Saccharomyces cerevisiae S288C: one gene and its partners. Changing the gene in region 1 together with any one later gene gives a genetic interaction. Each region holds a gene or a part of one and is shown on either strand. Other genes may lie near its edges.

What was found.
Region 2: of THR1 (region 1) and SNG1, extra expression of one rescues a mutant of the other (dosage rescue), as found in Saccharomyces cerevisiae (one study listed by BioGRID).
Region 3: mutations in THR1 (region 1) and SPT10 are lethal when combined (synthetic lethality), as found in Saccharomyces cerevisiae (one study listed by BioGRID).

Annotation. Positions count from the first base shown.
Region 1 is NC_001140.6:157,841-161,011, forward strand, and holds THR1 (homoserine kinase), read left to right. Parts: upstream 1-1,597; coding exon 1,598-2,671; downstream 2,672-3,171. Other genes in the region: MAS2 (mitochondrial-processing protease subunit alpha), read right to left, coding at 1-1,352; VMA16 (H(+)-transporting V0 sector ATPase subunit c''), read left to right, coding at 3,004-3,171. UniProt on the Saccharomyces cerevisiae protein: Commits homoserine to the threonine biosynthesis pathway by catalyzing its O-phosphorylation.
Region 2 is NC_001139.9:891,294-896,630, reverse strand, and holds SNG1 (Sng1p), read left to right. Parts: upstream 1-2,490; coding exon 2,491-4,134; downstream 4,135-5,337. Other genes in the region: YPP1 (Ypp1p), read right to left, coding at 1-1,938; FYV8 (Fyv8p), read left to right, coding at 4,445-5,337. UniProt on the Saccharomyces cerevisiae protein: May function as a N-methyl-N'nitro-N-nitrosoguanidine (MNNG) export permease.
Region 3 is NC_001142.9:181,095-186,801, reverse strand, and holds SPT10 (Spt10p), read left to right. Parts: upstream 1-2,581; coding exon 2,582-4,504; downstream 4,505-5,707. Other genes in the region: tRNA 1-methyladenosine methyltransferase subunit GCD14, read left to right, coding at 123-1,274; NIT2 (putative hydrolase), read right to left, coding at 1,378-2,301; MCO6 (Mco6p), read left to right, coding at 5,093-5,251. UniProt on the Saccharomyces cerevisiae protein: Required for normal transcription at a number of loci in yeast. Affects transcription at Ty1 elements, at PHO5, STE6 and ADH2.

The sequences.
Region 1 (3,171 bases):
CCTCTGTCTCCTTGCATTACAACAGTAGCTCTACCCTTACCATTGCCAGCATTATTTACATTTCCCGTAAATATCATTTCGGCAACACGTGAGATATCATCTGGCTTCAAATCTTCGATCTTACTTATCATTTCGTTGACTGGGATTTTGCGACCATGCATGAGAACTTGTCTGCCCATATCTTCCAATTCTACCAGTTTAGACTCTAGGTTCATTAGTAGTGAAGACTTCAACTGATTCTTGGCCCTGGAGACTTCGTCTTCAGTTAACCTCAAATCCTTATTAGCAAATGTATTATACATTTGCTGTGCAATTACCTCAACCGCTTGAGGAGCTGCCTGCGGTATACAAGATAATGAAATACCGAAAATACCAGAATCCGAATAAGAATGGTTGAACGCAACACAATTTTCAACAAAGTAATACTGGTTCAAAACGTGGGTATACAAACGAGAATACATCCCCTTTCCTGGCCCACCAGCACTGAAAGAACCACCACCTCCAAGTAAAGTTTGTAATGTTGCTAAAGCATAAATGTCTGGATGATCTATAGGGAGACCTTCAAATCCGATCTGGATGTGGAATAATTCTGGTAAATTCCCAAACACTGGTGCTGGTGGAATACAACTTTCCCCGCCCGTATATTGGGCAACTTTTTTGGTGATCGGAGGGTGTGTAGATTGCCAGTCACCGAGATACTTTTCTGTAAGCTCTAATGCCTTTTCGTGAGGAACACCAACAAATGCCGCAACAGTATTTTCTGGGGTGTAGAATTTATTTCTGTAGTCCAATAAGTAGTATTTAGAAATAGAAGGAATGAGCTCTCTAGGGCAGATTAAAGGGGACCCCAAAGTTTCTCCGGAGTATGCTGCTGTGTGCAACAGCTCAGGTAATACCAATTCTGGCTTCATCCAAACTTCATCGATTTCATACTCTGCCGACAGCTTCTGTTCTTGCAGTTCTTGCTCAGTAATCTTAGGGAACCTCACAGTTTCTGACATTAATTGAAGCATTTTACCCACATCCTGGTTGAACACAGAAGCCTGATACATCAAATTTTCTCTAGACGAGGTACACTGGTAATTCCCACCCAGTAACTCCAACGTCTCTGCCATTGCTCGGCCCTCGACGTGTTCGGTTGATTTGAATGCTAGTCTATCCAAGATATGTGTACAACCCTTCAAATTCCTACCTTCAAACCGTGATCCTGCGTCGATGTATAGGCCTAAGGCACTAAAGTGTCCAGGAGTATTTGATGTCGCCACTTTCAGTCCATTCGCTAGTGACGAAAGCTTAAAATTATCGGTTCTAGCGATGTTAGAGTACAACCTCTGAACGCCGTTCCTTAGCATCTTTTGTTATTAATCAGCTCTCTGCTTTGCATTAATTTGACCACCTGCCCTGAAACACCTTTCTTCTAGTCCACCTGTGTAGGCTTTTTCACCTGAATTGTTCATTCTCGATACGCCCTCACGCCGGATGAAAAATTTGTGCAAGAGTCATCATCTCGAAAAGATATGGTGATAAAAACAAGTGTACTTCTAACCTGCCTAATGGTTATAACAGTAGCATAAAGTAGATATACGGACTACAGAAAATGGTTCGTGCCTTCAAAATTAAAGTTCCAGCTTCTTCCGCCAATATCGGCCCTGGTTATGATGTTCTTGGTGTCGGTCTTTCTCTATTCTTGGAGTTAGATGTCACCATCGACTCCAGCCAAGCTCAGGAAACAAACGACGATCCCAACAACTGCAAGCTGTCTTACACTAAAGAAAGTGAAGGCTATTCTACGGTCCCATTGCGTTCTGATGCTAACCTGATTACCAGGACTGCGTTATATGTGTTGCGTTGCAACAATATTAGAAACTTCCCCTCCGGAACCAAAGTTCACGTCTCCAACCCAATCCCACTTGGCCGTGGATTGGGTTCCTCTGGTGCAGCAGTTGTGGCAGGTGTTATTTTAGGTAACGAAGTGGCCCAATTGGGTTTCTCTAAGCAACGTATGTTGGACTACTGTTTGATGATTGAACGTCATCCAGACAACATAACCGCTGCTATGATGGGAGGCTTTTGCGGTTCATTCCTAAGGGACTTGACCCCACAAGAGGTGGAAAGACGTGAGATTCCATTGGCTGAGGTGCTTCCAGAACCTTCTGGTGGTGAAGATACCGGTCTGGTTCCCCCATTACCTCCCACCGATATCGGTAGACATGTCAAATACCAATGGAACCCCGCCATTAAATGTATTGCGATCATCCCACAGTTCGAGTTGTCCACCGCCGACTCCAGAGGCGTTCTTCCAAAAGCCTACCCAACCCAGGACTTGGTTTTCAATCTACAAAGATTGGCCGTCTTGACCACAGCTTTGACCATGGACCCACCTAATGCCGACTTAATCTACCCTGCTATGCAAGATCGTGTCCACCAACCTTATAGAAAGACATTGATCCCAGGTCTCACGGAAATCTTATCATGTGTCACCCCATCCACATACCCTGGCCTATTGGGTATCTGCTTGTCAGGTGCAGGCCCAACTATCTTGGCTTTGGCCACTGAGAATTTCGAAGAAATCTCTCAAGAAATTATCAACAGGTTCGCCAAAAACGGCATCAAGTGCTCCTGGAAACTACTGGAGCCTGCCTACGATGGTGCTAGCGTCGAACAGCAATGAAATGTCCTTTACCCCTAGTATACTGTGTTAAATACTATTGTAGACCATATACATACTGTAATTGACCGTTAACGGTTATTATGCTGAGTCTTCTTCCGTTACCCGTCTTTTCTATCTATTTCGAAAATAAAAAATAAGTGAAAAGAACGAAATTTCACAACCATTAACAATACAGATAATGAATCGAAGTTGTTTTCAGTCTCAATTCAAAAGACTCATAGCCAAGGCCAGTTGATTGATTTAGCCACAAGTATCATTCAACGTAATATCCACAGGTGTTTTTTTTCTCACCGGAAGGCGAATAAAATACAGGAGCTAGAGCGTGTAAGATAATGAACAAGGAATCTAAAGATGATGATATGTCCTTGGGGAAGTTTTCCTTCTCCCACTTCCTATATTACTTGGTGCTAATAGTAGTAATAGTGTACGGTTTGTACAAGCTTTTCACTGGACATGGATCCGACATTAATTTCGGGAAGTTCTTGTTAAGGACATCCCCT
Region 2 (5,337 bases), on another chromosome or scaffold:
GTCTTTTGTTCTCATGTACATATTTGCAGCAAAAATCCACACCATTTGTAAAAGATATTCTTTAGTTTGAGAATATTTGGGACCCATGCTGTTCAATTCAGGTTGTGAATCTGGAAATAATGTTGCGTATAATTCAAAGACCTCTGGAAGTGTCTCCAGTGCCTCTAAAGTGCCAAAAATTTCTTCAATTAGCGCCAATTGCGTTAATTTTAGGTGAATAAATTGCCATCTATCATTCAGAAGTAAAGTATTGTTCTGAAGACTTTCATTCATAGCTTCTAGAACAGAGCAAACTATCTTGTACGACATTTCCTTATCCTCTTGCACAGACCTACAAAGAGCTAATAGATGCCAAGCTTTGTAGTAATTTGGGTTTTTACTTAATATCAATGATTCTAGAGTCTTGATTGCAGTTTCAATGTGCCTCTGTTGTGCTAGAGTGTAAGAATATTTAAATTGTAATTCACGTAATGCCTTCTCCTCCTCTCCTTCTTCCTGCTCTTCTACATCAGCATTGTCTTTTTCTTTTGTGGACAGCATCATTGCATTACATAGATATGAAGTCAAATTATTAGATACAAGAAAATCTAACTGATATTTTCTGATTTCGTACAATGTTGACCACGCATTTGTTAGAACTTTCGAAATGTTTCCTGGGTATACACATCTGGTGCTGTTTTCTAGCCAATCTAAAGATTCTGATTGGCTCATTAATGGCAAATTATATTCTTTGTAGAAGGAATTCAAGGAAGTCGCAAACGTAGATACCGTATTATCGTAATCAAAAACATTTTCGATTGAATCGGTTTTGGAGGAGTTTTGTAAAATAAAAGAATACGCATCAATGAATGAAATTATGTCACGGTGGGAGTTATCGTGCAGTTGATAGTACTTGTCGTTGTATTTCACAAAATTAACAAAATTTAGTATAGATTCTCTTTTAAATGTCTTCTTCTTTATTTCGTCATTACTGTTATCGCTTAGGTTTTGGAAAAGAAACATTGCTGTTTTCGAAACTTCAATACTTTGAAAAGTCTTTTCCATTGAAGATATTATGAAATTATACCAACTGGGATTCACTTTTATTTTTTTTATGTGAGTGAATTTGAAATAATACTGCAAAAAGACATTAAAATGCTCCAAAGCTTCATCATTTGTCTCACTAGCAGTAGGAAATTTGGCCTTCAACAAAACGTTCTGTCCGAACTTCAAATAAAGATCATCATTATCAATGTGCTTTTTGAGAGGTGACTGGAACTTCTTTATCATGTAAAGGAAAAGAATAAAAGGATTTTCGACGGTAGTTTTAAAATTTTCTGCTAAATCCTGAATTTGATTGAACCTGAGTTTTGCGACGATCAAGCTGATGTATTCGAAAAGAAGACCGTTTGATTCGGGAGGGATCGTATCCACGTGGGCCAGTAGTTCTTTGTAAAAAACATTTTGCATGATATTTATGTCTTGCGAAACTAGACCACGGTAGTACAGGTTTTCTACGATCAAATACCTATCATACTGCTCCATAAGTGCTGTTTTTTGCGATGCAGTGTTATTATGAATTTTCAACGAGTGCAGCAAGCACCGCTGCGATTCCTGAAATTGGCCCCTGTGGAAGAAAAGAATACCGAGGCAATTGAACAGAATTTTCTCCACTAGTTTTGTAATCTCCGGATAGTCATTCAACTCCTCCATCATACTCATATTCTTTTCTAAATTTTGACTTTCCTTCAGTAAAACATCACAAACTGGTTTTGCAGGCCCATTCGATCCAATAACATGGTAATGTAGTCTAAACTGTAAGTTAAGTACGGAATCTAAACTATCAAACCCTGAATTGAAGGTGCTGCCACCTAAGAGTCGCGCTCTTAGCGCTTGGTCGACCACATCTATTATCTTCGATGGAACAGTAGGAGGAATCCGAACATTTGAGTTAGGCATTGGGCAAGTTGGTATTGAACTTCTTTCCAGCTGGCGTGTTCAACTTGTTCCTTCCAGTATGCCACACATTATGCCTTGCACACCTAAAGCACATATTTTCGTTATTTTTCACCACAATAGGTGGATCTCGAAAAGGATGGAAAATCAGGAAAAAGAAATGTTGAGAAAAAAATAAACCGATTCCCGTTTAGTTTTCTCCTATTTCCGTGTATATGCGTGGTTATTCGTTTTCGAATCCTTTTATGAATGTCCGAGGAGGTGGTACAATCCGAAATAGACTAAAGAAAAGCGAAAGCCGTGAGTTTGTTTGATGATAGATGACTCGCAGCTTTGTCATCAACGGGCCACCCTATTCGAAGAAGGGAATGGAAAACGGACTGGCGTAGTCAATAAGCGTCTTCATATCTTAGCATTGTTGAGAGATACATAGTGTACTCCATATCGTTCTTTTTTTTTGTATATATCAAGCCACATATCCTGTTTCTTTAATCTTTTATACGCCGTAAGAATCGGGTACTGACATAAGTGTAAGTAGCCGTACAGAGAACAAATATGACTAAATCGGTTGGTGATGAAGAGTCACAGTACATTGAGGACCCTAGTTTTGCAGCAGCAGCTGCATTTACTGGCGGCAGGGACGGGGTTTCGTACAGTAATCAGCGATTTGCTGAGGGTTCCGGCCATTCTTCTGACTTAGCAAAGTCATTAGAAGACTATCGGCCTCCTGATGAAAAGCCGTCCTCATTGTCATCTGTGGGGGAAGGTGGCGCTAATGAGGAAGAGAAGGGCGGTAACGACGGCGGTCCCTTGGCAAGAATTCAAACAGGGCTTTTTTCTCCAAGACTGCGAAATCATAGGAAAAAGATTCTCTCGAAGTTTGTTTTGAACAACTTCTTCATTGCTTGTGTGTGTGTATCGCTCATATCGATTTACTGGGGTGCCTGTTACGGAACAGATCGTTACTTTTTCAAAGTGAAAAATATTGTTGTATTGCAGGATGCGCCATCTAATACTTCAGTTCAATCTATTTCCGCGATCATACCCTCATTGTTAGCGTCTGTCCCCGGGACATGGCATATATACAACGCAACATCATTTCATAGGAAATTTGGTACGACGAACTCCACCGAAATTGACAGAAAGATAGTCGATTTAATTTACGATGAGAGATACTGGCTGGCGTTAAACGTTAAACCTAATGCTACAGACACTTTGTATAATTCTTTGATTAGCCAAGACGCAAACTCGGAGTTCAATTCATCAATTTTTTTTGAATCCGTGTTTGAAAGTGGTCGTGACCCATCGAGTGTTAAATCGACCATTCTACCACTCATGCAACAATTGGAGGTCCGCCTTCAGAAATATTACGTCAAGGAATATCTTCCCTCATTGATGAGCAACATCACTTCTAATGACAGAGATCTTAATATAAACATGGAGAACTGGGCGATTGCAGGACAGTTGTTGTTCACCTACAACGATTATCGTCCCTTTGCTGATCGTATTCTAATGGCCCCTCTGCAGGTCGGTCTGATTTATTGTATTTTGTTAACCGTTTTACAACTGTCATTATATGGTAAGTTGCACGGAGAAATGGCCAGAGTTCTGAAGCCAAAGCATATTTTAATCTACAGGCTTCTAATTTCCTGGGCAACTTATTTTCTTCTTTCCATTGGATTCTGTACCGTATCTGCAATTTTTAGGATCGATTTCACCCCCGCCTTTGGCAGAGGAGGATTCGTAGTATATTGGATGTCTACGTGGTTGGTAATGATGGCTGTTGGTGGTGCCAATGAAAACGTTCTCAGCTTAGTTATAGCTTACTGCCCTCCATACCTGAGTATTTGGTTGATGACGTGGATCATATTAAATATTTCTGCTTCATTCTACCCAATGGTTTTGAACAACGAATTTTACAGGTACGGCTACATAATGCCAATCCATAATGCCGTGGATATCTATAAAGTGATTTTTTTGAATTTAACCAAAAGAAAAATGGGAAGAAATTACGGTATTCTCGTGGCATGGGTTGCCCTCAATACATCCTTGATGCCATTTTGTATGAAGTTTGCAGGTAAAAAAATGCAAAAAAATGCTATGCAAGCAGCAGAAGCCGCTGTCGCAGCAGCTACCCAGCGTGCTAGCCGCCCGGCAGAGGCCAATACTGATAAAAATAACAACCCGCCCGGAAATTAATGGGTAGGGTTAATAGCTTATTCATATATACACTTAATACGATTAAAAATTATTTATATTCTCATCATCATAAGATGAAGATGCAAATATCACAACAATTATATAACGTCGTTTGTTTGTTTGGTGACACATTAGTGTTTCATTCCGGGTAGCTATTTTGTTTTTCTCATGCCAAGAATTCTGTAAGGCACTTAAAAGTATTCCTAAATACCACTTTCATACATGGTTAACAAGGTAAACACAAAACTTGCATTATAGTTAAAAGGGACTGTTTGATCATTACCCTTTTTCTGGAAAGCGGATATTTATTATGAGCACTGAACAGGTCGGTAGAAAGAAATCGTATAGATGGGTTAGCGCATCTCAAGCAAGTTATGACGGCGCTGGATGGGACAGTAGTGACGAATATGACTACTCTTCCGAGGATGGCACAAAAGGTTCAGAAATTCACAAGCAAAAAATATCTAATTTGCCTAGTTTACCCAAGCTCAATTATACAGATGTTAATGGTGAGCATGATGAAAATACGGGTGAAAATAAAGACAGCAATGATAATAACGTCAGTAAGAGTGATATTAGTCCTAGTGACAAGGAAGTAGGCTATCTCTCAGATGGGGTGCCTAAACTTATGGCTTCAAGAGAGTCTGTGGAATTACAAGCGAAAAAATCCAGCGAGCACTCCAAATCAGATTATCTTTCGTCGACAGCATCTTTGAAAAGTCCAAGTGAAAACAAAAAATCACCACATACAAATAGGGCTGTAAACGAAGACCTAGACAATTTGATAGAGCAAATATCAAGGGAGATGACACCAGAAATTAGGCAAACATCTGATTTTCGGCGTGATTCAGACAGTTGTGACGAAATCCAAAACGAAGCACCATTAGGGGAAGCGGTACCCTCTTCATCATCTCCTGTAGAAGAAGATGAAAAATCACATTCCTTAGGGGTTTCAATGGATACTAATGAAGCTGATACCACTTTCAATACGCCAACAAGGAATGGAAATGAACATTTGAGTAGTGATGGCGATGTTTCTGAGCAGAAAGACGACGAGTTTAAAGTTTCCGAAAGAGGCTACCTTGCAGATATTCTGCCTGCGGAGAAAGAGGAGAATTTACAACAAGAAGATGATGGTGAAGTCGAGAGCTCAGGAGCTTTGGAAAAGAAAGAAAAAAGTGAAGAAAAGACTAGTATTAGGAA
Region 3 (5,707 bases), on another chromosome or scaffold:
CCGTTAGCAACGAATTTTTTTCCATGCTCATCACTTTTAAAACTGTTTAAAGTATATAGAAAATATATGTGAATAAGATCGGGGTGGGACTATCAGGTAGCTAAGATTACGCAGATTTAGAAATGTCAACAAATTGTTTTTCCGGTTACAAAGACCTCATCAAGGAAGGCGATTTAACTCTAATATGGGTTTCTAGAGATAACATCAAACCGGTAAGGATGCATTCCGAAGAGGTATTCAATACTCGTTATGGTTCATTTCCTCATAAGGATATCATAGGTAAACCTTATGGTTCTCAAATTGCTATAAGAACAAAGGGCTCAAATAAGTTTGCATTCGTCCATGTTCTGCAACCAACTCCTGAATTGTGGACTTTGTCGTTACCACACAGAACTCAAATTGTATATACGCCCGACTCTTCCTACATCATGCAAAGGTTGAATTGTAGCCCTCACAGCAGAGTGATCGAGGCAGGTACAGGCTCAGGATCATTTTCGCACGCTTTTGCAAGATCTGTAGGTCATCTTTTTAGTTTTGAATTTCATCACATAAGATACGAACAAGCATTAGAGGAATTCAAAGAGCATGGACTTATTGATGATAACGTTACGATTACACATCGGGATGTTTGCCAAGGTGGATTTCTTATAAAGAAGGGAGACACTACATCTTACGAATTTGGCAATAATGAAACCGCCGCTTCATTGAATGCAAATGTAGTGTTTTTAGATCTGCCGGCTCCCTGGGATGCTATACCTCATCTGGATTCTGTTATTTCCGTAGACGAAAAGGTCGGATTGTGTTGCTTCTCCCCATGCATTGAGCAAGTAGACAAAACATTGGATGTATTAGAGAAATATGGCTGGACGGATGTTGAAATGGTGGAAATTCAAGGTAGACAGTACGAAAGTCGAAGACAAATGGTCAGATCACTCAATGATGCCCTGGAAAGGTTGAGAGATATTAAGAGGCACAAACTCCAGGGTGTAGAAAGACGCAAGCGGATGTTTAACAATACAATAGATTCTAACGATGAAAAAGTTGGAAAAAGAAACGAGGATGGCGTACCATTAACAGAAAAGGCCAAATTTAATCCTTTTGGCAAAGGTTCTCGAATCAAGGAAGGTGATAGTAATTATAAATGGAAGGAGGTCACAAAGATGGAAGCTGAGATCAAATCCCATACCTCATATTTGACTTTTGCATTTAAAGTTGTGAATAGATCAAGAGATGATGAAAAAGTTAACGAAATTCTTCGATCCACGGAAAAATAATTAAATGATTAACTACTTATATACTTAAATTATATGTTTTTGAAATTTTTAATATGTAAAGCAAATCTGTACGAATAAAGGCTTTTTTCATATTTTATTTGCCTCAATGAAATAAATCGTCTCTTCTCTGGTTCCATAAGGGCATTTTGTTCCTTATTTCTTGCAAAAGCTCACGATCCAAATCAGCGAGAATTAGTTGTGGTCCAACAGTAGAGGGATCGGCATGCGCTATTATTTTACCCCAAGGATCAATGACCATTGAGTGTCCCCAAGATTCTCTCCTGGAGCTTTTTTCGAGAGCGCTCATATGTGATTGTTTCTCCCACTCTGGATCACTGAGATCGTGCATTCCAACCTGCCCTGGCATGAGCACATAGCATTGAGTGTCAACCGCTCTTGCTCTGCCTAGTAACTCCCAATGTGCTTCCCCTGTTTTAATAGTGAACGCACTGGGAAAACATAAGATTTCAGCCCCCATTGATCGTAATTTCAAAGAAAATTCGGGAAAGCGAATATCATAACAAATGGCACTGCCCAATTTTCCCAATGGAGACTCTATAATGTCAGGAATGGCTTTGCCAGGCTGGACAGATTTTGATTCTTTCAATATCGGTCCATTTGGCACGTCTACGTCAAACAAATGCAGTTTTTGGTATTCTTGCAATATTTTCCCTTCATGATCGATATATAATAGAACGTTTCTGACTCGATCATTGCCTTCAAGTAAATCTTGTTCTGAGGGCGGCAAGTGTACCCCAATGGAAACATCTATATTCCGTGAATTATCTCTGACAAGGTCGGTAATGCTTGACTGTAATTGCCGAATAAATTTGGGGCTTTTCTGTGCCAAATACCTGGAATGAAGAGGGTTTTGAGAAAGATAGTCACTTGCCTCAGGGAGAAAAACGACATCCGCCTTTTTTTGAATGGCTTCAGATATCAATTCTTTTACCACTTTTAAGTTTTTGGTCAGGTCAGCGGATGAACATAATTGTGCGACAGCAACCCGTTTTAATTTACTAGTCATTTGCGGTGTTATATTTTATGAAGGAGACTTCATGATGGGTATGAATTTTATTTCACCTCTATTCATTTACTTCTAATGGCCTAGAATCTAGTAAGCTCTGAAAATTCGAGATGCGGATCGTGAGCTAAAATAATAAAAAAATGAAAAATATAAAAGAGCAAAATTCATTACATTGGCGTTAGTTCACTGCTCGGGGGATGAGTAAAAAGTGTACCGATCAAGAACAACTCTAGACTTCCGCCAAAGTGATTATCAACAAAAATCGTAATAATTAGCTTCAATGCTAAATCAGCACACAAGTTCAGTACCGGATGACGAACATCTGCAGATGGCACACCAAAATAGCAGTTCAGAAGTGAGAAATGAGGCAGCGGTCCCAGATCAACTTTTGACTCCTTTACAACCGTATACCATTTTATTGAAAGATGGAGAAACAATAGCTACGATGTATCCTATACCTGCGTATCCTGATTTATTGCCGCTAGGGCTCTTAAATTTCCTTCTAGATGAATTTAACATGGAAGTGGAAAAGGGAGATAGTTTTCCTTATTACGAGACTTTATCACTAGAAGAATTCAAAAATGTCTGGTTTCATAATGATGGTCACGTTTGTATTATGGTGTTAGGCGAAATACCAGAACTGGATTATAGTATGGATACTGAAGCGGACACAAATGATAATTTTGGAACAGAAATAGAAACCACGAAGCACACCACCCAATATAAGAAACGAAAAGAACGTCGCAATTTAAATCTAAGTATGCAGTGGGAGAAGCAATGTCTAGGCATATTTGACCTCAAACCAGCATACCCTGGACGGTCAGCGCATGTGGTCACAGGAACATTTCTGGTCAATGCTGGTATTCGTGGAAAAGGTATTGGGAAAACACTAATGGAAACATTCATAGAATGGTCAAAGAAATTAGGATTTACGTCCTCCTTTTTCCCGTTAATTTACGGAACGAACGTAGGAATCAGAAGAATTTTGGAAGGATTGAACTTTAGGCGGATTGGAAAGCTGCCTGAAGCCGGGATTCTCAAGGGCTTTGATGTCCCAGTAGATTCTTTCATGTATGGTAAAGAGTTCACACATATTACGAAAAGTATAGATTTGTTACGAGATCCTCAAAAGAGTATCGAAATTGGGAAATATGAACGATTAAAGCATTTTCTGGAAACAGGCAAGTATCCTTTACATTGTGATAGAAACGAAAAGGCTAGATTAAGAGTACTTTCCAAAACTCATTCGGTATTGAATGGCAAGTTGATGACAAAAGGAAAAGAAATCATTTATGACACGGATCAACAAATCCAGATTGCATTAGAGATACATTTAATGGAACATTTAGGCATCAACAAGGTGACCTCCAAAATTGGTGAAAAATACCATTGGAGAGGAATCAAGAGTACTGTTTCGGAGGTAATCTCTCGGTGCCAAAAATGCAAGATGAGGTACAAAGACGGGACAGGGGTAATAATTGAACAAAAGAGAGCAGTTAAGCAGGCGCATATGCTACCGACGCAGCATATAGAAACTATCAACAATCCAAGAAAAAGCAAGAAGCATGATAATGCGTTATTGGGACAGGCAATAAATTTCCCTCAAAATATTATTTCCAGTACGCTGAATGATGTGGAGGGTGAACCCACTCCGCCAGACACTAATATCGTACAACCCACATTCCAGAACGCCACGAATAGTCCCGCAACAACAGCTGAAGCCAACGAAGCGAATAAAAGATCCGAGTTTCTTTCCTCAATACAGAGCACGCCACTATTGGACGACGAACAGTCAATGAATTCCTTCAATAGATTCGTGGAGGAAGAAAACTCAAGAAAAAGACGAAAATACTTGGATGTTGCCTCCAACGGAATTGTACCCCATTTAACGAATAACGAATCGCAGGATCACGCGAACCCCGTCAACCGTGATGAACGAGATATGAACCATTCAGTTCCCGATTTAGATAGAAATGACCATACTATAATGAACGATGCTATGTTGAGCCTCGAAGATAACGTCATGGCCGCTCTAGAAATGGTCCAAAAGGAACAACAACAGAAGATAAATCATCGAGGTGAAGATGTGACTGGCCAACAAATCGATTTGAACAACAGTGAAGGTAATGAGAATTCAGTCACTAAGATTGTTAACAACGAATCTAATACATTTACAGAGCACAATTCTAATATTTATTATTAAATTGCGACTCTGCCAGAGACGGTCACATCACCAACCCTAGAAACTATAAAGTTTGTACAGAAAAAAGGTACATTTAATGATGCGTCCACTTTTGGAACAGGGTTGACAAGTCTTAAATCTTATTTCAGAAGTGATTTTTGAAGTAAAATTGGAAACTGAAATTGGAAACAAGGCACTCAACTCAATTATGCTTGCATGACGAAAGGTTCTGTTACAGTTTTACGTTGAAACCTAGGTACTGCAGAAATCCATAATCGGAGATAAATAACTAAGCTTTGTGCTGCAAAATTTTCCAGATTAGGAAACCTGATCCTCAGTGCCCTTTTAAGTACTGCTGTATCTGATGCCGTGAACGAGACACTATTGGCTGCGTGGGCACGTACCAAGTATACTCATCAAAATTTGTCTTAGGTTTTCCGATGCGGAAAATGGCAGCGCACAATTTAAATAGAAAAGGAGTTAAATGTACAGCAGCAAAATCAGTCACTCACGGAGAAAAGCTACGGTAGCGTAACGAAGAGCACATTGCTACTAGCAGCCAGCTAGATAATTGCAGCAGTGTACAGTTTACGCGACAATAAAGAAAGCATGATTTTCTTTTTCAACCAGATCCGTTCAATATTTACAGCTTTGCATACGCCAACTCAACAGATCCAATTATCAAGAAGGGCCTTTTTCCAATTCTTAGGCTATTTGGGTAGTTGTGTTGTGATTTCATTAGCAGCTCAATCGAAATACGTGCAGTAAGAAATGAAATAATGACCTGCAACAGTCCTTCTTGAGATGGAATGAAGTAATTGCTCTTTGAACGAGAGCACAAAAGCAAGCAGAAGTCGCGTATGTCAAGCCCATGATATAGCTGCTTAGATATATAGGTAGATATAAATAAGCACAATGGCTACAGTAATTGTGCGGTGCAGGGAGGCAATGTTTAGTGCATCTCCTCTACATCATTTCTATTTTTAATCTCGTCCACGAGAACGATTTAAGGAAATGGGGCTTCAAAAATAAAAAAATCAAATGAAAGTAATAATCTTTCAGCTTAGACTTATTTTTAGTTGAAACACTTGAATAAGAGTGCAGACACTCAATCGTGGTGTAGCTACAAGAACATATGGTGGCGTGTTTCTGCTGCAACTGTCAAGATCGTCTGTGTCTTAATGAGGTGATATATAGAACTGCTGAATACGGAGCCGTTTGTCT